Caenorhabditis elegans: one gene and its partner. The protein of the gene in region 2 interacts with the protein of the main gene of each other region in a pairwise test. Each region holds a gene or a part of one and is shown on either strand. Other genes may lie near its edges. The genes, in order: stip-1 and insc-1.

Region 1 (16,111 bases), 3.0 Mb from region 2:
CTTACTTCTAAAATTTCTAATTTTTTCAAAATTCGAATATTGAACGATTATTTTCTCGTTGTCCAAATGTTGTTTTTTTTAGATTTAAGAGGAAATTTTAAACATTCTGAAAAACTAGACACAGAGAAGTACAGTACTCCTTAAAGGTGCACACTCTTTTGTGCGGGAAATTTTCCATGATTTAGCGTTTAAAATCGAACTTTTGAATTAGATTATGTTTAGATTAATTAGATCAATTTTTAAATTTTTTACAAAAAATAAATTGAATTACCTTGTAAAGTGGCACGAAGTGTTGCGGATAGTTTTTGACAAGAAGATTCATGCAAACGAAGGCTGGAAGTCTGCATTCCAGAGTTTTGCGACTCCAAATTCTGACGACCGCCTGAAAATAAATCAATTAAAAGTATGATTTTCTTGTAATGACTTACCTTAATCAAAAGTTTAGACATTCTGGAGAAATGAGCATAGAGATCGACAAGCCGAGTCATGGCTTTAATTGTGGCAATGAGAACTTCAGTGGTTTGAACTTCGTTGAGAAACTGAAAATATTTGAATTTAAATCAAAAATTTAGAATTTCAGATGTTTTCAGCCACTTACAACAATCATTGCATGAAGATATGTTCTAACATATGTCTGATATTTCTTGATTGCAGTCTTCGAGAACAAAACTTTATCTCCTTCAGGTTTCGCTTTCAATAATCTTTTTAGAATATCAGGCATTGCTTGAAAGCACATTCGAACAACAGCTTCGAAGATTGATTGCTCATTAATGACATATTTTGGAGCTTCAATGTCTGCACCAACTCGAGCAACACAAGCGACAAAAACATCGACAGCCATACGAACATCCGATGGATTGGTGGGTGTGGAGGTCTATAATATTTCATTTTGTTGGAATTCGAATAGGATTCTCGCACGATGGCCATAGACTATTTTGCTTCATTATCACTTTTTAAAAAAAATTTTTTTGCCAAAAAATATTTTACACTTTAAAAAAAAGTTGCACTTGATATTATTCAAAAAAAAACAGTCGCAACATCAAAATTTCCGTTTTTTTCGCTTCCGTCGACTTCGAGAAATTTTTTTTTCGGATTCAGCCCTATTTTAAATGAATTTTTTTTTTTTAATATATTTAATCTTAGACTATTTTGCTTCGTTTTTGCCTTTTTCAACGTTTTTGGCTTAAAAAAACGTTTTTTTCTCACTTTTCGAAAGAAAAAACCGCCTGTCGCTCACTGAAAACACAAAATTTTTAATTTTCACACTTTTTTCAAAAAAAAAACATTCCAAACTTCAAAATTTCCTTTTTTGCTTCTTTCGTGATTTTTGGCGAAAAACCTTTTTTTTTCGATAACGTTTTTTTCTGGTACAACCATATTTCCCAAACGCGAAATATTTCGTTTTATGCTAAAAGTATACGGTACCCGGTCTCGACACGACATAATTTTAGTTAAATGCAAACTCGTGTGCGCATTTAAAGAGTACTGTAGTTTCAAACTCTAGTTACTGTAATTTTCATTGATTTTTTATAGTATTTTTTACTGATTTCTTATTAATTATGTGATTTTAATTGTTTTTTTTTTGTTGAATAAATGAATATATTTTCAACTAAAATACGAAAAATCGATGAAAAATTTCTAAAAACCAATATTTAGTCACAGCTTGGGTCTGCTAATCATTTAGTATCAGGTTTTTAAAATTTTTTAAAAAATCATTTACTTCAAAATTTACGTTTTTAAAAAAATGTATGCGTTTTTAATTGTTTTCTCAACTAAACAAATATATTTTTTCGAGTTTGTCCGCAGTTGCCTCGCAACTTGAACCCAACGGACATCAAAGTATCAAAGTAAGTAAAGTTTTCCGTCTCGATAATATAAATTACCTCATCATCCAAAACGAGAACTTGTTGAAGGTAAGAGTAAACATTTGAATCCACGATAAGACGTCCAGAATTGTCACTTTTAATCTTTGGTTTTCGGATCTTCTTAATCTTTGTCTTGTCGTCATCCTCCTCATCATCCTCATCATCATCACTTTCCTCTTCCTCTTCATCTTCATCATCCTCATCGTCATCTTCATCGTCATCCCCATCATCTTCCATATTCAATAGATCGGCATCTTCCTGTTGAAGGAACTTGAAAAACTCGGGATCGGATTGTTTCAGTCTAAAAATATATATTTTTATTACCAGCTCGAAGACAATTTCTCACTTTTCCAAATCCAACTTATGCTTCTTCACACCTCCTTTCTCAACAGTCACAGTTCCATCATCTTCATCTTCAGATCCATCTAAACTTCCTTCTCCATCCAATTTTGGTACCTCCTCATCTGAACTTCCCTCGTCCTCAGAACTTGGCTTCTTTTCAATCTTGATTCGTTTTGAAATAACTTTTCTTTTTTTGAGTCCCGCGGGTTTTTTGAGAAGCTTCATCCTGAAATTATGATGTTGTGGAAATACATGATTTTCTAATATCGAAATGATAATTCAGTTGTACACTCGCAAAATTTTGCGCTAAAAATACAGTACCCTCCACAGACTTACAAAAATATATTCGCTTTTTAAGAGTACGGTAATTTCGAACTTTTTTTTCTGCGGCAGTCGTTTTTAGTCGTTTTTTTCACGATTTATGATACATAAAGATCAAAAACACTTTTTGAAAAGCCGCGAACTTTCAATCCACTACTGTATTTTTGTGTTTTGTTTAAGCGACCGAATCGGGGTCACAAGACCTCTAGAGACTACGGTCAACGAAGAGACTTTCTCATAGTCAGGAAAAAGATTCGGATGAAACGCGCGTAACAAAGAAGGAATAATTCTCTGACTGTATAGTCATCTCATTTGCATATTAATTCAAGGCAGGATTTCATTATTTCTTATTCTCATCCATGATAGGTTTTTGATTTAATTATTCTAAGTCTATAGAATCTAGGAATCTAGTATGTAGCTTGATTGGAACTTCTTCGTTCCGAAAGGTCACTTGAAAATCTATAGAGAACCGGTCTCATCGCTCGCTAGATTAGCTGCCATTTTTCCATTCGATGTCAAAATATCATAATAGTTTCTGCAATTCTACAAAATGACATAATGCACCATGTTTTTCTAACATTTTTAATTTCCTATTTGTGTCAAAAATAATTTTTTTTAAGTCACTAGATTTATCTGAAAATAACATTTAGTTTAAGGTAATTTTCTGCATTTTCTCAAAAGTTTCGGCTGAAAAAAATGTTATTTTCAGATAAATCTAGTGATTTTCTATATTTTTTCGACATAAATTAAATTCCATAAATAGGATATTTTTTGATGAAATTAAATAGTTAAACTATTGAGAATCTCATAAAAATTAAAATAATCCCACAATTCCCGCTAGCTACTTCAATGTTCCACTCCTAAACCACATACACAATCCTCTACATTTCGCAATAAATGTCCCCGGTACGATAAGCCAGAACGGACGGGAGATAGGTACAAAAGCCATTCTGCGGGATGAATTGGACACTTGTAGGATAATGGAAGGAGAAGCTGCTGGCTGTCGCCCGTCAGCAACATCAGAAAAACGAGAAAAATCTTTCCGCGCAGCCGTGGTGCGCCACAGCTTTTACGCTTCATTCCGTCGGCTTCATCTCTCGCTCACAGTCTTTCCATCGCTTTTGACTTTTATGTTTTTGTTTTATAGTTGAGAAACTGATACAAAATGTGAAAAATTGCTAATTTTCAGATTTCATGTTCGTCACATTATCCTACACAACGCACACAATTATCTCAATATCTCTACATGTTTTCGGAGTAGTGGTTGGACTATTCGTATGGTATTTATTCCCGAAAAATGTATGTTTTCTTGTAGAATTCTCGATTTTTGAGATAAATTTAGTTTCTACGATTCAGAAAAGATTACAATTTTTAGTATTTTTAGTAAAAACTTATTTTTTTAATTTAAAAGCTTCCAAAATTTTCTCATCTAGATTTTCAGCCGACGCGCTCAATTGTCCAACTCCCGTCAGAAAGAGTAGCTGTCTCGATTGAAACTCCAATAACTACAAGAAGTGAAAAACTGAATGCCTACTCCCCGACAAGTTCTAATAATAATTTTACGACGAATGACGGCGGAAAATTAATCGATTTTGATGATCAGCATATTCCACAGATCTCAGCGATTCGCCAATTCGGTTAACTTCAATCATTATTTTCTAATCGGTTAGAAAATTCAATTAGAATATTAGAATTTTATGAAATTGCGAAAAATTAACCGATGATTTTTAATGTAAAAATTTTACGAGTATACTATATTACAGTTTTTTTTTTAATTTCAATAAATTTTATAAAATACAAATACAAAGCAGAAAGTATAAAATAATGAACCGTTATCTAACGGAATGAATAGACAAGGTTAAAATTAAAACAATAATAAATTAAAATAACTTTTATCGTAAGTTTAAACAAGATCATATGATATGTTAAAAATGATTATCCTTGTGCACCTTGAGCCATTTGAATAAGCTCATTGAGCCCTGAAGGTCGCCATACAAATTCGATTGGATCCATCACATAAACCATTTCCGAATCGAGATAAATCGAAAGTGCACCGAACCAAAATACTTGTCGTCCGTCTTTGTATCGATCTTTTTGTGGATGATATGTGAATCCATTCTTTCCAGCTGTGTACTCGATAATTTCTTTTAATGACAGTTTCTGAACAGGTGCAGCTTGAGTAAAGTGTGGTGCCATTGGTGGTGGTGGAGCCATTGGAGCAATCGGAGTGGCTTGGAGTCCGCCGACTTTCTCTCCTTGAAGGGATCGCCCTATTGCGATCATTGAGCGACGAAGATTTTCTGAAAAAAAAACATTTTGATTCTAAAAACGAGATATTTGAACTTACCATTTACAGTTGGATAATTAACAAGAACTTGTGGAATTCGAGCCTTCCAGGATCCATACCAACGCTTCACTTCATTGTAATCGACACCAGGACTATCTAGCCAAAGACAGAGGCAGTTGTAGAACTGAAAAAAAAATGTAATATTTAAAAACGAACATGAATAATCAACTTACCCTCGGGAAGAAATACTTTGTAACAATATTAGCAATTGCATCAGGATGTGTAAATTCAAGCCATTCCATGCAAGCTGTCCATTCAGGATATTCTGGATTCATCGTTGGATTCAATTCCATCGTATCCAATGCAACACCTAGTTTCGGAACAATATTTTGTGCAATAAAGGCTGAAAATGTTGCAGCTGACCAAACATTCTGCCATGGTCTCAGTGTCTCAAGAGCACTTCTATCCATTGGATCCCATAGTTTCAGAGCTTTTGATAATTTCTGTCGAATTGGAGGCATCACTGTTTGAATACGATCTCCAAGAAGTACAAGCCAAGGCACAAGCCATTCATGAATCGGAATTTCATCTGTCATCGGATCCCATTGATTAACTCGTTCCGCAATTTTAGGAACAACCAGTTGCTCCAGAATATTTTCAGTAATCCATGCGGATAATAGAGGTATCCATTGTTCGACGAGTTCAATCATTTCGTGCATTTGTGTGCTCGGATCCCACTGAAGACAGGCACGGCGAATTGATGGAAGAATTCCTTCCCAGATGATACGATCGTAGGCTGAAATAAAATTGTCTGTTTTTCTTTGTAAAATAAAACTAATAGACTTACCTCTAATCTCATCTCCTTTTGTTTTATTATGCCCAAATGTCATCTTTCTTCCATTTTTACTGTCATCCAGAATATCCCTCCATGTCGAGATGAGTTCACAACCATAATTCTTATCCTCGAGCGGCTTCCAGGCAACGAAATACTTTTGAATTAGTGGAAGAACAGTTGGTATAGCAACAGTTTCAAGAGAATACAACTCATATTCATGTGGGAATTCTGATCGCAGACGTCTGAACAATTCTTGGCACTCTTCCATGGACGGTGAACGATTAGATGAGAATCCATCGATGAGCTCGTATACATCTTTTATATGTTGTGCTTCTTGTTCTTCTGTTCCAAGAGATTTCTGAACTTGTTGTAGATCATATTCCAGAGCTGTTGTCTGATCCTTTAAACTGATCAATTGTTGATTGCTTCTTCGAATTCCTTCTTCAGTAAGATCCACAAGTAAATTCAAATTATGAATCAATTCCGGCACATCAAAAACAGTCCGTTCTTCATCATCGACAGTATCGTATTCGGATCGAGTTTTCATAGAGAATGAATCATAACCCGAGTAGATTTTTTGTTGTTTTCCAGTCATATCAATTACTTTAATGTTCGAGTATTGCTGTGATTGTTGATGAGAAGCTGGTCGTGATGCTGACATTCCTTCCTCCATCACATCTTCGATTGTTCTGTATTTGGTCTTCACTGTTTGAGATTTCTTCCAACTTCCTTTTATTTTCAATCCACTCTTCTCTTGATCATCATTTGTGGGGCGAGATGATGTTCCCTCTTGAGCCATTCTAAAAAATAAATATTTAATTTTTTCGTTGTTTTTAATTGATTTTTTCAAGCAACCCTTTGCCTACCTTTTCTGTGCATCCGCTGCAGATTCTCCAAACTTTGGTCCAGTAGCTGTCGATTCTTTTCCATAAGCTCCAACAGCTCCTCTTCCTTTTCTCAATTGAGCTTGAACTGGTTCCACAATTCCTTGACCTTGTGCTCCGAGACCTTCTCCTGGCTTATAACCCATTGCCTGCATCATTTTCATGATTTTATTCGAATTTCCGTCTCCTCTCATCCAGCTACCGAATTGATTAATATCTGCCGCTCCATGATTAGCTGATGAGCGCATTCCTGCGAAAACTTGGGCGCCGTTCTGTTTCGGTGCTTTTTTTGTTCTTTTATCGAAATCAATTTGAATGGAGCCTTCGTCATCTTCTTTCGGCTTTTTCTCGCCTCCAAGATTCAAATTCAGAGACGCTGGATCATCTTTGTCGATTTTATTTCCTTGTTGAATACCTCCGCTCACAAAGCTCATTGGTGCACTTATTTTTGATCGTTTTCTGTAATTACAAATCAATTATTGAAACAAAGTTAAAGGAGAAAACTTACTTATAAGGCCCTCGGCTTGTTCCTTGTTCATCGTCATCATCGTCGCTGTCAGGTGCAAAGACTCCTGAAAAATGTCAATTTTGTTTGCCCAATGTTAATAAAAACGGCGGAGCTTCCAAGAAAACAAAAAATTTCCGCAAAAAGTTCGCATTTTTCAATGATCTCACCCCACCATATGTCGCCTGATCCTTATTCTGAAACCGTCGCCTGCCGCCTGGATTCATTGCGTATTCGAGATCCATGTCGTTGATCTCGAACGATTCACGTCCATCATCGTCCTCCATCTGAAAATTACGAAATTATGTTTTTTTCTTGAAATGTCGATTTAAAATCAAAAAATCAAAGTGATATCTTTCATTGGAAGACGCAGAGATATTAGAGATAAATCCAGGGAGGAAATGAATCATTTTTTACACTGTCAGGTCTCGTGCTGTCCCATTCTTCCTATACTTTCTGACGGCATTCCGGTCATCTAAACACGTGTTTCCTTTGTCTGAACATTTGACGAAATTCCAGACTAACTTTCAATTTTTTGCTTGGTTTTAAATTAAAAATTTTTTTGAGAAATCACAATTTTCATTGAATAATATAATTTTCATGTTTTGCATATTGTTAAAACTAAATTAGCAAATTAAAATTCCAATCCTATTTATTTTCATTAATTAGCACACAAAGTTATTAAACACACTTCGAAATCGATAAAAACAACAATTTTCACATATTTTCCTAAACTTTGTTAATTTAAACGATTTTCTTATGGCAAATTCATCCGGAAACCGTCAATTTTGTATTTATTTTATCAGTATTAATAAGTTCTAACATTTAAATAAGAAAAATCAATATACCTAGCCTTTTTTAAGACAAAAAACGAAATTAAATGTAGAGAAAATCGAAATTCGAAATAAAATTAAAGACTACGATGCTCCGTTATTTTGGCTGCATGTTGTTTAGTGGCATGCGACTTTTGGAGCGAAATTCAAATCTTGATATTTTTCACTTCATCAAACGGGAGTTTTTCATCGATATTTTTGAATTTTCAGATGAACTTCATACTTCTAGTGTTTCTAGCCGCTCTTTCAACGACTTGCTATTGCACCAATCCGAGACTGAAGGCTCTCTGGAACCTGGAGGAGGTCGCTGAATGCGAACTTCACTACAATGCATTGGTAAGTTCCTTTGAATAAAGTTTTTTTGATGCGAAATAACTATTAAAGCACTACAATAATTATGGATGCTGGTGTGGAATCGGTGGATCTCATGAGCCTGTCGATGGAATCGATGAGTGTTGTATGCACCATGACAAGTGCTATGATGCTGCTGTCGATAATAAGGTGACTTTTTTAAAAAGAAACTTAATATCTAACACACTTGGGTCTCGCCCCGCTGACAACGAAGTACTGTAACTGCACATCGTGGCGAGACCGATGCACGTAAATCCGTGCGCCTTGAAGTATGAATTCCAGGAAGTAACGATACACTATTCAATGTGTTTTTTTAGGTTTGTATGGATGTCGAAATCGAATACGTTGATGATTATTCCTGGTCATGCATGAATTCCACTGCAATTTGTTCTGGTATATAAGCTCTTTTGAGCCCGAATAATTTAAAAAGCTTTCCAGATAAAAACATGGGATGCAAAGCGGCACTTTGTGATTGTGATAAGATTGTTGTTGAGTGTTGGAAAAAATTCCCGAAGCCGGAGAAAAAAGCAAAATGCAACAGAACTCTTTGGGCTCCCATCACGAAACATTTCCAACATTGAATAATATCTAAATTCACTTGAAAGTACTTTAAAAACTTCATGTTTTGAACTTTTCCAAAAAGTTGGTTTTTTAGAATATTGAATTGATTTTTATAAATATGGGAACATTGGAATAAATTGGATTAATATTAATTTCTATAATACATACTTTAATCCTTTAATACTTGAAGTTGACATAAGAGTTCATATATATGTAATACTGAAAAAGAGTCTTAATGAGTAAATTACAATTATATACCATTTCTTGTCTTTTCTCAATAAATTTTTTTTTGGTGTGTTCAAGTAGCTCCAATGTTACGTCAGGTTGTTGTTAGTCAAGTGTCACCTTCTGTTTCTCAATGACATAAATCAATGACAGGACTACCTGCAAAGAGAATAATCCTACGACATTTATTGACTGTCTTTTGTACCTTCCACCTTCATTTCTGTTTTTTTTTCTTTTAAGACCGAAAGAATGTCCCAACTTGAAAAAGTTAACAATTACGTGAGTTTCACAGCTTTATAGATTTTCCTTTTAATTTGAAAATTTCAAGGAATATTTGAGAATAGGATAATTCTCGAAAGAATTTTGGAAAGTCTTAACGAAAATTCGATGAATTTACTGGAGTTGAGAGTGAGTTGTGTTATATGATTCTATCCAGAGGCTACTTTTTGGAAATTGCCAAAAATTGTTTTGTAGAAAACACTTTTGAATATGATAATTCTGAGATCAAATCTTCAAACTTTACAATTTCTTCAACACTGCAGTGCTTTATTGAATCCGCAACGAACATTCCAAAATGATATTTCACGATGTAGTGGAAAGCGATTTGCATGACTGGGAATGTGACGATGATTATGTGTGTAAGTTCTGCACAGTTCGAGTGAACAATTGGAAGATAGAGATTTACCAACTTTGGCATTATTTTTTGTAAGTTTATAGTAACTACTGGTTTCCAATGCTAATTCATTTTCCAGTTTTCTCAAAGATGTGGTTGGTGTTATTGTCCGAAAGTTGAATATAGCTATCGATAGAGATTATACTTGCGAGGGACTTCATGTTGCTGGTCTAATTGGATATGATTGTGAGTTTGACTATTATAAAATTTCAATTTTGAATACATATCTTTGTGCTCAAAACAACAATTATCAGAAACATGCAAGCTTATCGGAACTTTTTGAAACTGTTTGACTCTATAGGAACAAGTTAAAGATGTTGATGCTGCTTTTCAGACGATAAAGTTGAAGAATACACTGGAATGTGTACTATTTGTAAACTTGGAGATTGTGGAGGGATGTGTAGACGTGTTGTAGAACATTGCAAGAAGTGTGGTCCAATACAAGAAGGTGTATTCGAGACCCCATTTGAAAAACCTCATCATTTTGAATCACTGGAAATAACCAGCTTGTAAGTTTTTGGAAAATGCTACACAAGTTGGAACTTCCTAATCTTGGCAGTTTGCGGAAAACTGTCGATAACTGAATAAGTTGAACATTTACAGCACGATCGATTGTTTATTGTATGGAAACCGATTCCGTCCAACTTTGGTAAACTTCAAAAACGCGCCCATCACAGTTGATTCGCTCTCAATTAATGCCCCTTCTTCCGGAATCCCAAAAGTATTTCTCAGTGCTATGATGATTTCCAAGTGGAAGGTGAAGACTCTGCATTTGGTTGTTGTTGGAAAAAACATATTAAACGAGGTTACAGTTATTGATTCTAAAAACCTGCGAGGATTCCCCGTATGCAATGGAGGAGCTTCAGTTAAGTTTGACTGGAAAAATGCTTGAAGAAATGAGCAACAATGATTATAAAGTTAAACATTTTCGAAAGTGTTTCCCAACGAAGAAAATGAGTATAAAAATACTCTCCCAAATTGAGAATATTCAAGATATTCGAAAGCTTTGTATTCAGGAAAAGAATCTTGATCTAGCAATCGATATAATTTGTGATAAATCATTGTTACTGAAATTTTGGGTCTCGCAAAAGAATACCCGTGGGAGCTTCTGGAAAATGAAGATGCTGTGAAGAATGACTTGGATGAGTTAAACAAACTAAGGATTACCATGAATAATGACAAGTATCAGAGCAAGATTCGGTTCCAGATTTTGTTGAATCAGTGAAGTTTCATAATTTTGATTTCCAATCATGCATTCTTTAATCCCAAAAAAGGTTAAAAAATTTATTTGCATTTTAAAATTAATTATTGACAATTAATGAATAAATTACATTAATGCTTATCCCCATTCTTTTTTTTTGGATTTTTCAAAATTTCAGAAAAATATTCAATGCAGTTAATGAAGCTTGTCATAAAAGCTGACAACAGGACGTTGTCTCAATGAAAGCGTTGGCATGTACGAATCGTAGTGGAGTCTCTGGAAATTAAAAAGAGTTTTAGTTATTAGCAAGGAATCTCTGGTTACCTCTTCAAAGCACTTTTTCGAGACATTTTGATAATTTGTACCCTCTCCGACGTTTTCCGTGTCGTCCTCGTTGATGGGAATTGTTAGGCGGTTTTCCTAAAGAATATCTTTATTTAACTGAAGATAATAATACTATTCACCTTATCTCTGATGGAATCTTGACTGGCTCTTTTTCTTATCACTACAGGACTTCCATCATTAACCGCCACGTGTGTACAGTGCTCCACTGTGCAGTTCTGTGGCGGCAACACATTCTTTGCCTCGTCATCAGACGATCTTCTTTTGGCAGAAGCTCCGTAGCTTGTTTGAGCTGGAAGCACGTAGACTGGATGTCTTCCAACTTCTGGATGACGATGAAGTAGTTCATTATCGATTGCAGCAGTAGCTACAGTTACGTATGTCACGTTGTTCTTCTCTGGCTGCAACTCGTCATCGATTCCAACGATCATTCGCTTCTCGGCGTGTAGTTCGGAGACATGTGTTGGTGGAACATCATCGATGGGGTTACTGTAGATAGAAATTATGGTGGAGGATTTGGACTCTGCGGGGACATGTATACTCAATGGTCTACGACGACGGTAACTGATTTCTGGGTAGAGATGAGTTTTTGGTTGTGGGAGAACTACCATTTGGTCAAGAGTTTGAGTGGATTTAGATTTGCTGACTGTTACCGGATGTTCTGGTGGGGAAATTATTTTTGGTGGTCTTTCTGGCATGATTCTGGTGTAAGTTTTTGGGTAGGTACCCAAATAACTTTTCGGCTTCTCTTCATATGGAGAATCGTCATTCATAATCACACTAGACGGAGTTGGCGATGGTTGAGGATAGTCAGACAATGGTATACTGTAGGTTGATGTTGATCTAGATCTATAGATATAATGCTGAAGGGGAGTTCCCGGGATGTCTTGATCAAGACTAATCTGGTGGAGCTTTTGAGGGGGAGTGCGTCTAGACGGGGTAACAAGAGTACGGGAAATAGGTTTTTCGAGAGGAGGGGTACTGTATATTGGAGTTGACCTAGGCCTAGACACCTTAAACGGGGTCCACGGAACGTCCTGTTGAAGACGAGTCAAATGGAGCTTGGGAGGCATACGAACAGAAGATGGAGACACCAGGCTACGCGTTGAAGTACTATCTACTGATGGGGTATTATAGACGGATGAAGCGCGGGATCTAGAAATATAATGCTGCAATGGAGTACTAGGAACTTCAGGTTGGAGTGGGGTTAGATGAAGTTTTGCAGCCATTGTTACCGATGGTGGAGGGGTATATCTAGATGGGGAGACTACATTCCTATCCTCTGGTGGAGTACTATAGATCGGGGTAGATCTAGGTCTGGAGATGTAGTGGTTGAGTGGTGTTCCAGGAACTTCACGCTCCAGATGAGTTAGGTGCATTTTTGGAGATGAAGAAGGAGGGGGAGTGTATCTAGATGGGGAAGCTACTGTTCGGGTCGAAGCCTCCTCGACTGGCGGAACGCTATAGGTGGATGAAGAGCGAGATCTATAAATGTAGTGCTGTAGTGGAGTTCCAGGAACTTCTGGTTCAAGTCGAGTCAAATATATTGTTGAAGACACAGGTGGATTAACTGCACGAGGAATCACAATAGGCTCTTCTGGAGGTGTACTGTAAACTGGTCTTGGTCTTGCCACGCATGAGTACAGCGGAACATGTGGTACCTCCTTCTGAAGTCTAGTTAAATAGATTTTTGGTTGTGGAGAACGAGGAGCACTGGCGGTTGATGGTGGTCTACTGTAAAGTGGTCGCCTGGACAATGGAGCCCGCTGAACTTCCTGCTCAAGAGGAGTTAAATAAAGCTCTGATGGGGGAGAACGAGGTGGACTAATCGTAGATGGAGGTCTATCGTATAGTGGTCTTCTAGGTACCGGAGCACGAGGGATATATTCAACCGATGAAGCAGTACTAATAGTTGACGGTGGTCGACTGTAGAGGGGTCTTCTAGGTAGGGGAGACGTTGGAACATCTCTTTGAAGATTGGTATGATAAATTGGAGTACTGCTTCTTGATGGAGGGGGTGAATATTTTTTGTTCTGATTTGAGAATGGTATGACTATGATTCTAGAGTCTCCGGGATCACTGTACTCAGGCTGTCGGATCACAGATCGTTCAAGAGGGACTGGCGGAATTTCTTTTTGAAGCGGAGTTTTTGAATAACGATAGGTAGGTCTAGGAATGACTATGGGCTCTTGTTTCAGATTATTTGTAGCAGTAGTACGATAGACTGAGGTCATCGTAATTTTGTCCATCGAATGATACGACTGACTTAAAGGGATGCTAGAAACGCGAGAGTTGGTTGGCTTAGTCTGGCTGGGTTTAGATATTCTACGATAGATTGGTGTTTCTTGGGGAACCTTGTCGAGAGCTGTAGTTGAGTTTGATGAGAATGGGATTATGACTGTTCGAGGACTGTCGGATCTACGATCCACTTTAACAGGAATCACATAGGTACTATTAGATGATGGTGGGATTGGAGGAGATGTTTGAATACGGACACGGTGGCTCATTGGCGTTGGAGTTATGGAACGTGGACTTTTTTGGACTGGGACTTCATCATAGGTTGGGATACGACAATACAGACTATGGACACTAGGGCTACGAGGAATCTGATCATATTTTGGAAGTTTCGAGGCTCGAGAACATGTTGAAGCTAAGGAAGTTCGAGAAGAGGTTTTTGAAGCTTCAGAAGCTCGGGAGTACATTGTATTCCTGGGAACTTCGTCATACTTTGGGAGTTTAGTACCTCTTGAGTAGGTGGCGTATGGTTTTACCGATGTTTCTTTCAGCTTTGAAGCTTTCGAGTAAGTTGTACTTCTAGGTGGTTCAGGGGTATCTCCATAAGTGGTATAGGTAGTGACAGTGGTAGTTTTACAGTATTGGGCTTTGGGGGTTCGTTCATACCTTGGACTCATCGGTGGAATGTAGCGTGGCATTGGATGTGGATCGACTTCCGATTGACGTGGCAACGGGGATACTCTGCCACCAAACACTGAAGATCGCTTCGGATAGTTTGGTGGAGACTGCTTGCTGGGAACTTCACGGCGTTGAAGTTCAGGGGATGGATCGATTGGAACTTGGTCGTAGCGGCGAGTGGAAGAAGTTGGAATTGAGAATTGTCGGCCTTCATTAACTTCGGTCATTGGTTTCAGTGCGAAATAAGTGGCTGGATCAGATGGAGAAGCATGTTTCATCGAATCGTAATGATTGAACTCATTGTACAAGTTTCCTTGTGGTGCAGGTTGGTTTTGGCGGTACGCATCGATGATTGGCTGGAAATTGGGTTTTAAAATCATTCAGTCATCAAATAAAATACCTCTCGACTCTCGTGTTGTCTGATTCTCAACGTTTCCAACTCGACCTCTCTCTTCCTCAACTGCTCTCTTCGGATCCGGTCACGAAGCTCATCCTCTCGAAAATCAAACGGCTCAGCGGTTTCTGTGGACTGAAAAGTGAAAGTTAGTCTTGATTTATCCTTAGGTAAGTTTCTCACAAATTGTGCATCAGTCTGATGTTCTCTGCTCACTCTTCGTACTCCTCTAACTGGCGTCTTCTCGCCTCCTTCCGGGTTCCGAAGATCGTAGGATTGACTATGTCCCATTGTTTCTGCTAGCGGTCTGAAAAATAAAAATGAATTTGCAAACATTAGGAAAACTCTGAAAGTGTAGCAAAGAAGTATATTTAAAACACCGAATTGGAAGCTGTTGCTTCTGTTCTGTATATATAAAAAATGACGAATATGAGCTATAAAAAGAAAATCAGAAGGAATTGTGGAAAATATTATTCCTCAAGAAACTGAATGATCATCGAGTAAGCGGAGTTTAGGTGTATTGATGTCTCTTAAAAAGTACGAACGAAGACGAGTCAGATGACAAACTCCCTCCCACCGCAACCATTAAACAACCATCATAAGCAACCTAAAACAAACAGGGAGAAATGGAGAAAAAACATTTTGAGTCACTCTCTTCTACCATTTTATGGAAAAATATATGGAGAAAGAAAGAAATAGAGAGTTTTGTGAGTGAGAAAATAAACAAGAATCATTTTATGAGCAGAGTTTGGAAAAAAAATTATTCGCATTTTTTCCTCTAAAATCTTACACAAGAAATAATATACAAAAAGTTTTAAGATAGAGCGTGAGAAAAAGGCTCAAAAGTAGGCTTCAATTGTAGGCCGATATTTAGAAAAATTACACAATTTTCATACCTCGGAAAGACATTTTTTAATGTGTTGTAAATTTACTCATAATGATCAAATGTTTTGATAAAACACTTCAAATAAACATTTCGATCTTCTTTTTCATTAAAAGTTTTGAAAAATTACCAAAATTTCCAAAACTTTCGTTTGGAAATTTGGACAGACCTCAAAATGGTGTTAATTAACACGATTAAGAAATGAAAATACGGAAATTAGCGAGAAAGTGAGTGACAGGCGGAATAACAACGACACACATAAAAAGTAAATTATCTGATTGACATATACACATATATTTTCACGCACTTTGCTTGATCCACCGACATGATTTCAATCCCTGGAGACAAATTCTAATTAGAGACCGTAGGAGACTAAGTGATTTAGAGAGATTGTCAAGCGGAAACCGTACAAAAAGCGGTGCGCAACATCGAATTGTTGCTGGGGGTTGCAAAAAAGTTTTTCTATTCCTAGATATCTGATTTATTAAGTTTTTACAAGATAAGGAGATATTTTGGATAGTAGGGTTTGAATAATTTAACTTGGGGTAATGTCTAATAGTAAGTTTCGAATTCAAGTTCAATTTAAAGTAGACAGAGCATTCATAGTTTTGAGCATTTTTAAAAATATATTCAACGCGTTTTAAATTTAGTCTTCGCAGAAACTTATGAATAGCAAGAACTGAGTAATTACCTATC
Region 2 (16,111 bases):
CCCAAAGCTATCCGTTCAACATGTCAGTGTGTAGAGACCTTTTTTATCTATCAAACAAGCCTAATTATTCACTTGCAGCTTGCTTCTGTCTTGAGATGAGAGTGATTTTCGAGTTTTTTCGGCTTTTTCAAAGTTAAACTTTGGTTAATAGTTCCAGCTCAATCACCGAGATACCCCTATATGCTGAAGTCTATTGGAGCTTCAAACAAAGCATTTTTGCGTTCCAATCTTTCCATTTGGAACCGGTCGTTAAAGCTGCTGCCAGAGAAACTAAACCGATCAGTCTTTGCTTCCCATTTAAATGTTATTCCCATTTGTAAACTTATTCCCCCAACTTGCTCCCCCAAACTATACTATGGTTTATAGGATCAGTTTAGGATCTCCTACCCGTTGATCATTTTGTGATACCATTTAATTTTCTTTTGACGAGAATAACAACACAATTTTTCACACAAATTGGGAAAAATATTATTAGGATAGAATGTAATTGTTTTCGAAACATATTTCCTTCTCATGAGTGTCATGGCGAGTCGAACGTCTGACATTTCAAAATTCGTTTATTAACTTCCTCCAACGATCCACCACAGAGGCGCGAGATTCGCAACTATATTAATTGTACTACAAGACGCATTCTCTTATTAAAAACATCTCGAAATGTGTATTAAGACTTCTCCTTCCGGAAGGAGAAGCTAGAAAGGACCTGAGAAAGCAACGTATCTGTTGTGAGCGTGCCAACCACAATTTTTTCTAAAACAAGAAAACTAACGTGTTCTCCTGGACGTGGAAAACCTTATCAAGATTACCATTATTGTCTGTCAGAATTGATATTTCAATCATTTCGAAAGAAACTGACACTAATCAAACATTGACAACTTGCATTTTACTAACAAAGTGAGTTTACATACAAACGAGAGCTTACAAGCAGGGGAGAGCGGCGATCGAAAAAAAATCGGCGATCGGCGATCGCCGATCGCCGACACGTTTTTTTTTGTCGCCGATCGCCGATAATAATTTTTAACGCGGCGATCGGCGATTGCCGTTAATATTTTTGTCTTCGGCGATCGGCGACCGGAAAATCTGAAAAAATCGGCGATCGCCGCTCGGCGATTTTCTTGCACTTTAGATTTTTACAAAAGAAAATGCACTGTTCAAGTGTTAAATGTTCATTATGAGGTTATATAAGTGCATTTTGCAACTTATTAATTATGAAAAGAATACAAATTCTTGTTTTTCTTCAAAAGAAAAATTGCCGTCTAATGAACTCGGCGATCGGCGATCGCCGACCCTTTTCGTCCTGTCGGCGATCGGCGATCGCCGATGGCCGCTCACCCCTGCTTACAAGAAATCGCCGCGCGGGAAGATTTCATTACACAGTTTAAATTATGTTCTTTTCAGGGAAATATGGGCAAGACCAAAGCGGAGATTCAAAAAGAGGAACGAGACAACCGATACAACCGAAGACACGCTGAAAGAGAAAGCGCTCAGGCAGAGCAAGAAAATGTGAGTAATCACGATATTAATCAAGTAAGGTCTATAGATTTATAAAATCTGAAGAATAAAAAGTTTTGAAAAAAGTAGTTTTCATATGTGCGAAGAGATATCATAAATAAGGGAATAACCTACGAGTGGGAAAATTATATTTTTGTAATTATTTCAAAAATGCCTGCAGGGCCGTTATCTTTGCAAATGCACTCTATCAAACATAGATCATATCCATTATACCCTATCCTATGCATATCCTATCCTATCATATCCTATGCGTACTTATACCCTTAAAAATATATTCTCGGTGCACCTCAAAACAATCAAAATGTTCTAGAGACTATAATTTTTTCGAATTTTTCAGAAAATTTAGTCGTTTCCACAATCTTTCAGCAACTTCCACTTGACATTCTCAGAAATGTTTTAAAGTTTTTCGAACATTCCAAAAATGTTCATAATTTATAAAAGTGTGCTCCGCTAACAGTGCACCAGTACTCAAACATAGATCTTATAAAGGGTTGAACGTTGAGGAAAAATATTTTAAAACTATCAAATTTTGTAGGTAGGCGACGAGACTGATCGCTCCAATGAAATCGATGAGAATTGTGAAGACATCTCAGAAACATCGGCAAATGGCAGCAATGATACTAACGCTATGCAACAAAATGTGGCTCAAGCTAAGACTGTTTCTGATCACAAAATGGACAACTTCATGCCCATCCCACTTTCAAAACATCAAAAAATTTCAAAGTAAGCTCACGTGATCGGACTTTGCTTTCAAGACGTAGCCAAAAAGAAGAAACCAAAGAAGGGGAAAAGAGGCGACATATTTACTATCAGTGAGTTTTCAAAGCTTCATATCTCCAAAACCCCTGTGTTATCGTATTACAAAACACAATGTTGCAGTTGCGAAATTGAGAACAAGAAAGTTCTAGCACATTCTAGAACTCCTTTGAATTTTCGAGAAGTTTCCAGAGCATTTTTACTTAGAAAATTTGAATTTTCCTCCAGTTTGTGATTATGTCTCAAAATGGACATGGCCAGTGGGATTCTTCTTGCCAAAGATCTACTATGTAGAAACATAAAACAGCGCTTCATATCTAGTAAAATGATGATACAAGATCATATATTTTTCAGAATGCCGATATGAGATTTCCAACGAACACTCGTTCGAAGTTCATAGTCAAGGTGAAATGGGTCCAGAAATAGAACGGAAGTCGCATTTAGCGTATCAAGTCGCTCGTTTCGAAGCAGTTGCTATGGGCTTCCCGGTGCAATATAGACAAGTTGTTGTCGAATTCTACTATCATGGCCGATTGGATGGATCATCGGGTACCCTGGCGACTGCGGTTGGGTTGTTGGCTCTCTTCACAGGAGTTAAGATATCACCCCGTTTTGCCATCACGGGTTCTCTTGATGTTTTCGGTTTCGTTTATGAAGTAAGTTCTTTATTTTTATGAAAACCCCCAACTTTTTTGAACACATTTTCTTTTGTATGTTTTAAAAACTAGTACTAGAGAAGGAAAGAAGAGAGAGAAAGATCCTATTTTCAGGTTGGTGGAATTCTTGATAAAGTCCAGGCGGCTATTGACGGATTGTATGAAGCAGTCATAGTGCCGGATTCGAACTACTCGATGATTCCAGATTCGATGAAAACGAAAATTCAAGTTCACCCGGTATGGCATGTACAAGAAGCTCTCAAAATTGTCACTGAAAACAAGAAATAACCCTAACTATAAATTTTTACTCGAATAAAAATTTTGAGATTTTTCAAAATTTCAACTTTTTCTCTTCACATTGGTCAACAGAAATGTCGGTCAGATTTTTTGAGCAATTTTTCTCAATGTTTATCTAATATTGTAAAACATAGTTAGTTTGGTATTTTCCATAATTTTCAGTATCTACTAATAAATTTCTGAAGTTAAACCTGCCATTGTGTAGAGAATTTTTCTAGCTTTCGAACAAGCCTAACTAGGCATTTGTAGCGTATCTTCAAACTGGCGTATCTTGAAAAATCCACGTCTATGAAGCAAATGTTCAACTAAAAAAATGTTTAAAAATATTTTTTCTTTTTTTTGCATTTAGTTTCATTGCAAGATACCAGTTATTTGTTGAGTTACACTGATTCAAATAAATTTTCCCAATACCCATCGAAATTTTTGAGAACTGTTCTGCTCTACCATTCATAATTCAACATCCATTGAATTTTAGATAACAAAACTTATGGGGTTATTCAAGTAGTGTCGGAAAATTAAAAAGTGTAGATTAATTACGTCACAACTGTATTCAAGTATATAAAAACATGTATTTAAATACATTAGTGACGTCACAAATGTATTTAAATACATTTTGCTACATTACTTGAATAACCCCATTAATAAATAATAATTGCAAGATATTTTTCCACATTTTATCAGTTTATATCTTGCAATTATTATTCATTAACATTTTACTTCTGAAACTCAATCGACAAAATTTTTAGTGGTTTTTGGTAAAATGACTCTGTGTAACAAATAATTGGTATTTTGCACTGAAAAGTAATGCAGAAAAAATAAAAAATATTTCTAATCATTTTGTTAGTTGAACATTTGTTTCCTGGATGTTTATTTTTCAAGATACGCCAGTTTGAAGATACGCAATTTCGTGAGTTCAAGAAGTTATTTGGTAAACCGAGCCTGGGCTTGCAACTTTTGCTGGCAAGTATTATTTTAATGAGAATTTAGAATGTTGTATTGCCTAACTATTGAATTGTAGAAAATTATAGTATACTTCTACAACGGTTCAATAAAACAATAGTGATGTACTGTGGGCACACTCAGAAAAACGCTTAGTAGTCTAATTAGATTTCGACCATATTGGATTAGATTTGTTTTCTAATGAAATATGGAGGAAATCTAATCTAGCATGGATTTCTAATCTAATATGGAGCAAATATAATGCAATATGGATTTTCTAAACAAATATGGTTGAAATCTCGTTGAATACGGTTGAAATCTAATTAGACGACTAAGCGTTTGTCTGAGCAGGTGTCACAGTGGATTTGTAGTCCAAATGACTGTCTGTAAAAACAACATTATTTTTGAGCTTCAAAACTAACTTGCAAGTAGGTCAAAACGTTCAGACTGAGCCAGTCTTACTCCACCCCCACTACCATCCTCACAAGTGAACGAATTCCGTCAAATAGGTATAACTTATTCATTTGTGCATTGAACATTTGCTGCAGCAATGCAAGTTCTTGATGATATAACTGCTGAACTAGCGAATCTAGATTATCTTCGTCAACGTTCCATCCGTGAAATACAAAATACATTGCGAAAACAAGAAGACATGGAATTAGATAAAGCTGCTGAAGTCATAGTAAATTATCAAGATCCAAGAGCACACTATATTTTAATAGTTCAGAAATAACTTAGGTTTCCATTTCACTTTTTTTCTGGAAATATCCTTTATTAACCAGACACGAGGTTTTAGGGTTTTTGAGCCAACCCCGGTCTTGACACGACAGATTTTTGTACAATACGAACAGGCGTGCGCCTTTAATGAGTACTGTAGGTTCAAACTTTCGGAAATTTCATTTATTTTTCATAGTTTTTTGATTAATTGTTTTTTAGCTAATCGAATAAACAAAAAAAAACGATTGTTGTAAGACGAGGAAAAGTTCAATGTTCTCACAAGTGAAAGAGCTCCGTCAACTAGGTATAACTTATTCATTTGTACATTGAACATTTTGCAATTTCTAACGAAAAATACAGGGCCTAAAATTAGAAACTATTTTGATCAAAAGAAAGTTCATGGAAAAGCTCAGTTATTGTCCATTGAACCCAACGTGTACTCAATATCATCAAAAGAAACATCTTTACCAAAAAGCGATCTATGTCATCATTTCTGACTGGCCATCTGCTTTTTCTTCGTCTACCACTGCTGGCAGAATGATGATAAAGCATGTCGTGTCTATATGCCTGCGTCTAACATTGTATGTTTTCTTTTCTACTTGTCTTCTTCATCGATTCCCTCTGCGTCTCTTTCCTCTTTCTGATGTAATCGCAAAATTTACAGGAATCACATTTTGATTCCGCCCCGATTTGTATATAAATTGACTGTGAAACATACGTTTTTACATTGTTTACTAATTTTTTAATTCCTTTATAAACTCAAAACCTTTTTCAATCCGATATAATTTCAGGTGAAACATGGCTTATTTGGAGCGTGCCTATTTTGGTCTTCAGTGCTTCTGGGGAGAATCTGCATGGGCGAAGCTGAAAGGAGTTGTGGTGACACGAGTTGGATATGCTGGAGGAAAACAACCAAATCCTACTTATAAGAATATCAAGGATCATACTGAAATCACAGAGATCACTTTTGATCCAAAAGTTATTGAATACTCAAAGCTCACCAACTTCTTTTGGAAGCATCACAACCCAGCTGAAAGGAGAAAGAAGGTAATTTTCGAATTGACTTTAAAGTTTCAAATATTGTTCTACTGGAAAACGTAACAAAAAGTAAGTTCTAATTGATTATAATTTTTTAGGTTAAAATACATTTAAACTTCAAATTAATTCGTTTCAATTTCAGCAATACCAATCTGCGATTCTCTACGTAAATGACGACCAAAAGAAAGTCGCTGAAGAAACTTTGAAAGTAGCAAAGGACAAGCATGGAGACATTGAAACATATATTGAGCCATTGGACAAGTTCTATCAAGCTGAAGATTACCATCAAAAATATTGGTTCCGTCAAAAGAAGATTCTTTTCGATGAACTGTCTCTTCTTGATACTCAAGTTGCTGAAGGAGAACTTGCCACAAAATTGAACGCATATTGTGCTGGCTTCCAGGACTTCCACGATCTTGAGCGTCTTGCAAAAGAGTACGGATTAAAGGATTCTTTTGTCAATAAGGTGAAGGACTATGCTCTGTCAGGAGGAGATCCAAGAAACTGTCATGCTTAAATTATATGAATGTACAATCGAACTTTTATCAGGTTTTCAATGAATTTTATTTTATCACAGATTCTTGTGTTTGTTTGTTTAACAAAGGAAGATATTTGAATATTATACTGCACTTTCAGATTGGTATTTAGATTCCAACTTTGTGCGAATATTGTTGCATATCATATTAAATGGATTTGAAGAGTTGTTGTCATCATAAAGCACATTGCTCAAAATTGCGTAGGCTGTAACTTGAACATATATGAAACGTTGAATAATTCTGAAAATCTCACCATTATTACCATACAAGGCTTTGAGCCCAATTTCACTGTTAGCTAAAGTACCAATACATACAGCAGCTTTGTACCGTATCCTTCTACAGTAATCCGCATGGATTGGATGGGTAAGGGATAAAAATTCAAGAAGCACTGGAATTGCATTTTGATCAACCATTTGATGATCTAAATGACGGGCGGCAAGGCGAGAAAAGGCTGTAACAATTTGTTCCTGGACGAAGACAGTGGCACAATTTTCTCGATTATAAGCAGATATCAGACGACGAATTGAATTATTTCTGAAAATATTTACATTTACATGTTGCAAAAAACTTTTCAAAATCCCAAAATAGAGAGCGATCCTATAAATTTTCAGATTTTTTTTTAAATTCGAGACTGTTTTCAGTTTTATCTGGTAGGCTGGTTTACCGTTTTGTAGTTTCTAGGTAACTTGTAGCAATTGCTACAAAAGTTAGAACAAGGAATTCGCCTTGAAATTTTGCATTCATTTTCTACAATTACGTGCTATAGCTCAATTTAATGTTGGTTCAAATTTAATTTTGTACTGAGCTTTTGCGAAAATAGTTAAATGCTTAAAATTCAACAAACCTGTACATAATATCAACTCCATTTGGGTTCTGAAGTGTCACATTGTTCAATGCAGCGGTTGCCAAAAGCAAAGAGTCACCTGATTTACATTGATCTATTAGATCTGAAATTAATTATTTAGTCTCCAATTTTTATATTTAAATTGGTTACCCAAAAGTCTGGATATAATTGGTTCCACATGATTTAACCGAATGAATGCAGACTGAGGATTGGTAAGTTGTGTCAGAATACCAGCTGCCTCGACGGAACAGATTGATGAGGAAATGGATAAAAGTCTATCAATAACCAAATCCAAGCCTCCTTGCTGAAATTAATCAATTTGTATTGATTGAATTTGTATTGAATTTGTATTGAAAAGTATTGATTATAAAATATATCTAATTACCGTGAGCAAAGCAAGTGCTCCTTTTGAAACTCCACATAACACTGCCAATGTTCGAAGTAAAAATCTAAGAGTGTTCTCCTGTGGTTGATCATTCTTCATAATTCGAATAACTGATGAGATGCATCCTTTTTGAATTGCTTCAATACAAAGTTCATCTCCAAATAAACAAATATGAATAAGATGCTCTAAACAAATAGGTGTCAGACGATCTTTTCCATTACTTTCACATAGATTCTTGGATATTATCTGAAATTAAATATTTGAATGAATTGAATAGTTAAACTAAAAGTAACTTACCCTCACAAACACCAAAAGTACTGATTCTATAGACTTTCTGAGAAGAATCGCAAAAAAGTTTGTCATATTATTCATGTCAATTATTCCTTTATCTCGATTTCTGGAAAAACGTAAGGTAACATTTAATTTGTTTCAATAATAGATTTACTTTTGTAACTCTTGAACATTCATTTTTAATCGAGCCATTTCAGTCTTTGGAAGATAATTTGTACATGGAGATGATTCAAGCAGTTGGATGAACACAGAAGACTTAAATATTAACTTTTGTAACTTAATTCAGTATGCACAAAATACCTTTGCCAACAAATCTCTGCAAGTTGCTGGATCCAGAGCTGAAGAAAGAAGAGTATACAAAGCAGATGATGTTCTGAGAACATGATCCATTGTACCTGAATTTTCTCTTTAAAAATTCAATTTCCAAATAATGACTACTGACTAGCCATTCTCGCATAGCTTGGCATCCCTGTATCATCATCATCTTTACTTTCTTGTCGAGTTGAACAATTTGATCTTCGTTCGATTTGATCTCCGGAACATTGTCCAGAGTCGACACTTGTGATGCTATCCGAACGAGTACTGTATGGAGATCGGAGAATTGTATTTGCGCTGTCAGTGCTCATGTCTATTCTGTAATTGCAAAATTATTTTATCTTTAATGTTAAAAATAATTATTTAGTACCTGTTCATTGCCTGTTGAACATGTGCTCCATTAACAGTTATTGTGTTTGCTCTTGAAGAAGTTGGAACTGGTGGGGCCGGAGACAAAATTCCATTTCTTTGTGGTTGCACACTAGCTGAAAAAATTCAATTTTTCCAGCAAAAGATAACGAAATAAAAATTACTCACATTTCATAGAATTCCGTCGCAAAACCTGAAACTGTTCATACGACGGAGGCGCTGTTTTAGGAGTTGGTGTTCGACAACCAGATGGAGAGTTGCTCTTTTGGCTCAGAGCTCGTGAAATGTTTCCTCGGAAGCCGGGCAACTTGATCTGAATGGTTCAACATGTGTTGCCAATCAACGAAGCAATTAAGATAAAATTTAAGGGGTGGTGAAGGGATAGAAAACGAGAAAAAACGAAGGAATAAAAGAAAGTGAACTCACATTTCGAATTATTGCATCCTCGGTGTCCGTTGGGCAAGACTCTATAAAAACTCGAGTTTGAGAAACAGGACGGAAATGTTCAAAACTTGAAAGCATTTTTATGCCGCAAGTTTTCCCAGTGCTCTAGGGAAAGTTTAAGGAAAAGAGAGTTCATAAAATTTATGTTGGGAGTCAACTTTTTGTTTCTTGATTCCTTTTTTTAAGTTGCATTGTTTTCTATCTAGTCCAGATGAATTCAAGAAAAAATCGTTAAAATTGTATTGCGCAAAAATTGAAAAAATGATACTGCCTAAAATCCAGAATAATTTCATTTTTGCAAGGTATCAAGTTTCTTTCTTTCTGAAAAATTTAAGGGCATTTGACGTGTTTTAGCTCTCTCACTATCGTTATCAACTTTTAAATTCTCCACAAAATATTTACCAGCATGAACGGACGAGCACAAAGTAGTGCTACTTGAGTTATACTTGTCACTCAGACTGTTGTTCATCATCTCAGCGATAGAATTCCTTTCCAACAATTGAGGAAGACTTGCTGAAAGTTGTAACATTTATAAAGTAATTTTCATTTTGTTACTACCTGCACAATCATTTGCTCCACTTCGTAGCCTTGCTATCCTCCTTTGAGGTTTTGGAGGAGCTGATATATTGCCCAATGAAGTTGATAACATTGATTTGCTGAAAATAAAATAACAATTAATTTATATATTTTAAAATTTTGATGATTTGAATTACCGAAGAACCATTGATTTGAAAGTAATCAATAATACTACAAATGAATGAAATAATGAATTTATTCTTAATGCGGATCAAATTGCAAACTATCTCTTTCCCATTCCGCGCGGTAAATATCTTTTCGCACCAATAGCTACTGTTTGCTTTTTTGATTTGACTTTTGGAGTTGGAAGCTTGAAAGAAAATGTGGATAAAATAACTTATTTCTCAAACTTCTGTATATAAGAACTTTATACGAGACGAGAGATATTGATAGAAAGTAACAAAGAATCTCGGAAAGAGACATGCTCAACAACTTGAGAAAAGTCATTAATTATTTGAAGATGGCGGCCAAGATGACACCTGTTCGCATCCAATTTCTTGGCGGAACACAACAAAAATTAATTACAAAATTTTTGCTAAAATATTTCATTAAAGTAAAGAAGAAGAAGCTTGTAAAGCGAAAAAGAAGAGCAAAATGATTTGAATGACCGCAACTAGTCGGGTAACCCGACTCCCTGTGCATTGAACAACAAACAACCACTTTACCTGTAGCCGACCGAGATTTTCTTGGCTCCATAATATTCTTCATCGGGTAATTGTACGATAGATTCCGGAGTTGGAAGCAATGGTTTTGCATATAAAATTGTTTGGAGCTCGTCGTCTCGGGCATTTGCCAAACTTGAGAGCCATTGCTGATGAAACCGGGTTACAGTAGACTGAAATTAATTTTTATTAATAAACAGTTTTCATCTGATTTCTGATTTTTGCAATGTTTCAAGCTCATCAAAAATATTTCCAAGAGATTGCTTCTTTGTATCAGTTAACAATAATTTTTTGAAAGCATTTTTCAAGTAAAGCCTAAAGTTTAGAAGGGTCTCTTTTTTTTATTTCTTTCTATTATAAATTTTAATAACAATAAATTGAGACCTTTGGAGGTTGTGGAACTATATCGAATAAATTCTCGTTTTCCAGGGAATCCCAGAATCGGGCCAATCGGGCCATGTTTATATGAGCATTTAGCTGAAAAAAGTAAAAATTGAAAAGAAAGAATGAAAAGTGAAAGAAACGAGCAGTTCTAATTATTAGTTGTCACTTTCACTAGGACGCTCCAAGTATATTCATAATTTTATAAAGATATTGTTGTAAGAAGTGTGTCTCTTCTTGTCAATGCGCGATAATATCCAAGTGGGAAGCCCATCGGGACCTTGTGAATATTGTATGAAATAGAGAGACACAGAGAAAAGTGAAGGTGATAAATGATGAGTTTCTCAAAACAAACATAGACTTCTCTATTCGGGATCAGTTCATGCGCGCGGCAAGTGAGAAGAGATGAATCGACGTGGGACGCGGGAGGCAGGCGGAAGTAAGATTGAACGAAAAAAAACGAAATGTCAAAAAATTTGTGGAGCAAATATGCCAATTGGGTTCCGGTCTAGTTGAATGCATTGGACATGTTTTGAGGGAATGCAAATCAGCTGGTGAGTTACAAAGCAGGCGGAAGGGTAGAGGTCACAATATCTCAGAAATAGAGAGAAAGAGAGCAAGATGAGCACCCACAGGAGCAATTTGTGTACTACATAATATGATAAGATGTGCAGACTTTAATTTTAATTTATAAAAAATCTTGAATATATTATAAGTATCAGAACATTTAAAAACAGAAAAAAATTTTAGAGTTAAAATGAAAATTAATGTCATATCGTCTTTGGAAGACTAATAAAAATGTATATTTACGCAAATATTATAAGCTATAGATGGTGTTCAAATCACACGTTTTGGCATTTTTTGGCAATTTACCAAAAGTGTGTCTAAACATTTTTTTTCCAACAAAATACCAACTGGTGATTTAATCATGCCACAAAGCTGAATTTCTACACTTTTCAATAAACTTTTTCAGTTGAATATATAGATTTAAATTTACTAGAGCTTCAGGTATGATTTGATAAACGCGCCTACCTCAGACCTAAACTCCGGAGTTTGGTCAAATTTTAAAAAAATCTGTGATTTTCAAGTTTAACAAAGTTTAAAAAAGTTTGAAGTTTTAATTTAAAAGTTTAAATTATGTTTAAGTTTAGGCAGAAGCTTCTAGAAGTGAAATCTAATTTTTTTGTATATTTTGAAGAGACTCTTCAAATAAATTTCTATAAGCGAAAAATGCTCATTCTACATGATATATACCCCCAGGTAACCTAATTACACTAAAACACAATTGTTCCTAGAAGAAACTAAAGGTTATTGCTAATAAGTTTTTGTCTACTGTTCCTGCAAAGATAATTAACTTTTTTTATGATGAGTGCCTCCACTGAACAGCTAGAATTTCGTTTTGTTCTAACAATAAGTTTAAACAACACGTATTTTTCTGACTACTGTAGAATTCTCTAAAACCTATTAAAATTTAAAGGGCAATAAACGGTGTGATTTGGGAGAATAACACCTATCTCGTGGGTTCATAGAGGATATAAATCAGCCAAAAAACCCGCTGTGATTCTCCGCTTCTTGATGATAAAAAAGATAAATGAGTGTCTCTTTTCCTTCTGGCTCCGCATCAAAACGTCACAAAACAGTGGGGTTGATGAGTGACATATGGTTGATTTCCAAGTGGATTTTTGCGCCCACCACCACCAATTGTTCATCAAATAGGGATTGTCTGGAATATTTTTAGAATGCGGAAACCTTTTTTCCGAAAACCTTTCCCCAAAAAGCATTAGAATAATATGAAAATTACAAAAGGATTTATTTACAAAAGAACATTGTATCAATTATCTTTGGAAAAATATCAAGATTATATTTCAGGCTTCACTTGAATCATTTTCTAGGCCTGGAAATTTTTCAGAACGCGAGACAGTGTACAAGATGTAGAGGGCACAGGCAACTTGAATAACGAAACTCCGAAATGACACTCGTCGCGTTGTTTATCGTAAATCGACAAAGCACTTTTCTGAATTTTACTGTAGATGTAAAAGCTACGTTTTCTAGTTTTCAAGTTTTATCGTAGAAAATTGCTAGATTTTTCTGTTATTTCACAAACCTTGTTTCTAGGAAAACTATTTAAAATAAAGACCGGACCTAAAAATTGAGAATTTGAGCCAAATTTTTATTATCCGATAAGAATTAATTAAAATTCTAAACCAACATTTATTGAAGTTTTACAAGCACAGTTGATCTCTATAGTATTTTTGAGAATTCAATATAATTATCGACTTTTTGTTAAAACAATAATTTAGTGCATGAGTCATTCCTAGTGTTTCCTCATATTTCGTAATCATGCCGTAATCTCCGCCCATTGTCTCGTGTATCACATTTTATTTCAGAACTCCCATTTTATAAATGCCATATTTTTGCTTTTCTCCATTTTCTGTTTCTGGTCTTTGATACTGATGTCTTGTTCATTTGCCGTTCCCTATGAGAGTGAATAGGCAAACATCGCTCTTTTATTTTCGTTTTCCCTCTTTCGAATCGCGTTAAATTTCTAGATTTAATTTTTTAAGATGCACCGATGGATCAATACGTCGTTATACCTGTACATGCTAATTGATGCAGCTATCACTAACGTCTCATTTGGGTATTTTGCTCCAGGATGGAAGTTCAATTATGACTCATTTTTGGGCATCATCACGTTCTCCCTTCCTTATCACTTCACAACAACTCCATACGAATTTCAAATCTTCTCATTCATACGACAATCATTTTGTGCTATCGCGGTTCTTCTCATTATTCTCAACAAGAGGGAAAAAGTTAAAGTTTTGTTTCCTGTGGTGATTTGCAATGCAGTAGTCGTCTACTCATTATCTCTCATCAAATTTCTGGCTTTCTCCGAGGACTCGAATCAACTATACTTCCCCGGATTGTGGTTTTCTGTCATTTGGTCTATTCTTTCCGGATTCATTCAAGTTCTTGTTTGGTACTTCGTTTTCACTTCAAATCCTTTCGATTATCATCGATTGTTAAATACAACTGCCGAAAATGCTGGCACTTCTGTAACGGAGACTGCAGCTGAAACAGTGAGGGATACGGAAACTGCAAGTAATGTTGAAAGTGGTGAGTTATTTTTTGCCCAGAAATTGAATAAAATAATAAATTTACAGGATCCTCAACTGCGCCCAGAGCTCCACTACACAAAGTACTCCTCCGTCTTCTCTCGTACTGTGGACATCAATGGCCGTGGTTTGCGAGTGGTTTTGTCTTTCTTACGGTTTATGCTTTAGGTTTGTTGGTTTTTTTTTAATTTTTTAGTTTTCCAAAAAATAATTTATAGCTCGTGTCTTCATCCCCAACTACACAGCCCAAGTAATCTCTGATATTGTGAACAAACGTGGAATCCAAGCACTTATTCACTCCATCATCGTTCTCACATGCCTCACTGCTACAAGTTCTCTGTTTGGAGGTCTTCGTGGTGGATGCTTTGACTACGCCACTGCTCTTGTTACACTTCGAATTCGGTTAGATCTGTTCACCTCCTTGATTAGGCAGGATATTGCATTTTATGACACCGCAAAAACAGGAGACACGATGTCTAGACTCACTTCTGATTGTCAAACGATCTCTTCTACAGTTTCTACCAATGTGAATGTGTTTATGAGGAATGGAGTTATGCTGATCGGTGCACTTGCATTCATGATCCTTATGTCCTGGCGTCTTGCAATGGTTACATTCATCGCTGTTCCTCTCGTAGGATTCATCACAAAAGCTTACAGCAGTTTCTACGATGTAAGTATTGGTTTTCTCTCAAATGTTAAATAATCTTTGAAATAATTCAGAAAATCTCCGAAAAACTACAACAAACAATTGCTGAAACGAATCAGATGGCCGAAGAAGTTGTTTCGACGATGCGAACTGTGAGAAGTTTTGCGTGCGAGAAGAAAGAGCTGAAAAGATTCGAAGATCGTCTCTCGAGTACACTATCCGTCAATAGAAAGAAGTCAATTGCCTACTTGTTCTATACATGGAATAACGAGTTCTGTGACAACGCGATACTTGTTGCTGTTTTGTTTTATGGAGGACATCTTGTGATGACGGGTAAAATGGAAAAAGAACAACTCATCACATTCCTTCTGTATCAAATGCAACTCGGTGAAAATCTTTACGTTCGTTTGAATTAATTAATATGAAAGCTTTTAAAACGTAATTTTCAGTACCTTTCCTATGTAATGTCTGGTCTAATGGAAGCTGTCGGTGCATCAAGGAAAGTTTTCGATTTGATGAATCGCAAGCCGCAATTTGAATTAGACGGAATGCAGAGGCCGTTTGTAAATGGAAACATCACATTCTCTCACGTCGGATTCACTTATCCATCTCGTCCGAACAACCCGGTTCTAAAAGATTTGACTCTTAGTATTAAATCAGGTGAAACAGTTGCACTTGTTGGTCCAAGTGGAGGAGGAAAGTCATCAATTGTATCGCTTATCGAGCACTTTTATGAACCGGACGAAGGATCTGTTACTCTTGATGGCGTTCCGATCAAGGATATTAATCATGTCTACTACCATCAAAAGGTATTTTATCAAATTATGAGATTAATATCATCTATTTTATTGCAGGTTGCATTAGTAGCACAGGAACCAGTTCTCTACAATGGATCTGTACGACATAACATCCTTTATGGATGTGATTTTGCTACTGAAGATGACATGCTCAATGCTTCCAAGATGGCGAATGTGCATGATTTTGTGATGGAATTGGAGAAAGGATATGACACTAATTGTGGAGAGAAAGGAGTTCAGATGAGTGGAGGACAGAAACAAAGAATTGCGATTGCACGAGCATTGGTTCGTAATCCAGCTGTATTGATTCTTGACGAAGCAACCAGTGCACTAGATACAGAATCCGAGGCTTTAGTTCAACAAGCCTTGAGTAGGTGTGCTCAAGAACGAACTGTTATCATAGTTGCTCATCGTTTGTCTACTATCGAGAAGGCTAATAAAATTGCTGTCATAGTCAAAGGATGCCTCGTTCAGGTAACTCTATTGGAAGATATATTATTTATACATGACACAAAAATCAAATTTCAGATGGGAACACACACCGAACTTATGACAGACACAGACGGAATGTATTACTCATTGGTGTCTCGTCAAATGCTGAGTGCTAAAGTTGGAGAAGATTAAATCCATTTATTTATGTCCAGTACAAGACGACCGTTCATATCTTCTTAGTCATTTTCTTTCAGCCGGTGTACTCTTTGTTCAATTTTCTCTTTCTTGGTGCAACCTTTATTCACGTGTATCTTCTCCGAGCTTGTTTGCATATTTTTTTTTTGAAATTTCATGTGCTAATTTATTCATGTCATTTTTGAAGTTAAACTCTTCACATTTCATAATAAA

What was found.
Region 1: the proteins of insc-1 (region 2) and stip-1 interact in a two-hybrid assay, tested with the Caenorhabditis elegans proteins (one study listed by BioGRID).

What each region holds. Positions count from the first base shown.
Region 1 is NC_003280.10:10,342,680-10,358,790, forward strand, and holds stip-1 (Septin and tuftelin-interacting protein 1 homolog), read right to left. Parts: upstream 7,327-16,111; coding exon 7,215-7,326; coding exon of another isoform or gene 7,210-7,214; intron 7,107-7,209; coding exon 7,043-7,106; intron 6,994-7,042; coding exon 6,517-6,993; intron 6,451-6,516; coding exon 5,663-6,450; intron 5,612-5,662; coding exon 5,049-5,611; intron 5,000-5,048; coding exon 4,876-4,999; intron 4,829-4,875; coding exon 4,464-4,828; 3' UTR 4,406-4,463; downstream 1-4,405. Other genes in the region: pro-2 (Nucleolar complex protein 2 homolog), read right to left, coding at 272-382, 429-539, 599-874, 1,884-2,166, 2,212-2,432; C07E3.10 (uncharacterized protein), read left to right, coding at 3,723-3,827, 3,970-4,170; C07E3.9 (Phospholipase A2), read left to right, coding at 8,083-8,208, 8,257-8,373, 8,541-8,616, 8,662-8,804; C07E3.8 (DUF223 domain-containing protein), read left to right, coding at 9,584-9,714, 9,762-9,868, 10,017-10,191, 10,286-10,574; C07E3.3 (SH2 domain-containing protein), read right to left, coding at 11,079-11,159, 11,208-11,303, 11,348-14,494, 14,539-14,667, 14,716-14,823. UniProt on the Caenorhabditis elegans protein: May be involved in pre-mRNA splicing. Required for embryonic development and survival.
Region 2 is NC_003280.10:7,353,595-7,369,705, reverse strand, and holds insc-1 (Protein inscuteable homologue C-terminal domain-containing protein), read right to left. Parts: upstream 10,794-16,111; coding exon 10,719-10,793; intron 10,508-10,718; coding exon 10,338-10,507; intron 9,753-10,337; coding exon 9,655-9,752; intron 9,610-9,654; coding exon 9,499-9,609; intron 9,120-9,498; coding exon 9,079-9,119; intron 8,966-9,078; coding exon 8,821-8,965; intron 8,769-8,820; coding exon 8,654-8,768; intron 8,602-8,653; coding exon 8,411-8,601; intron 8,364-8,410; coding exon 8,269-8,363; intron 8,224-8,268; coding exon 8,123-8,223; intron 8,075-8,122; coding exon 7,975-8,074; intron 7,924-7,974; coding exon 7,678-7,923; intron 7,597-7,677; coding exon 7,443-7,596; intron 7,396-7,442; coding exon 7,293-7,395; intron 6,983-7,292; coding exon 6,702-6,982; intron 6,654-6,701; coding exon 6,532-6,653; downstream 1-6,531. Other genes in the region: F43E2.6 (Ovule protein), read left to right, coding at 1,402-1,524, 2,045-2,236; msra-1 (peptide-methionine (S)-S-oxide reductase), read left to right, coding at 5,673-5,921, 6,055-6,429; haf-2 (ABC-type antigen peptide transporter), read left to right, coding at 13,280-13,829, 13,877-13,996, 14,047-14,498, 14,549-14,875, 14,924-15,283, 15,329-15,745, 15,800-15,895.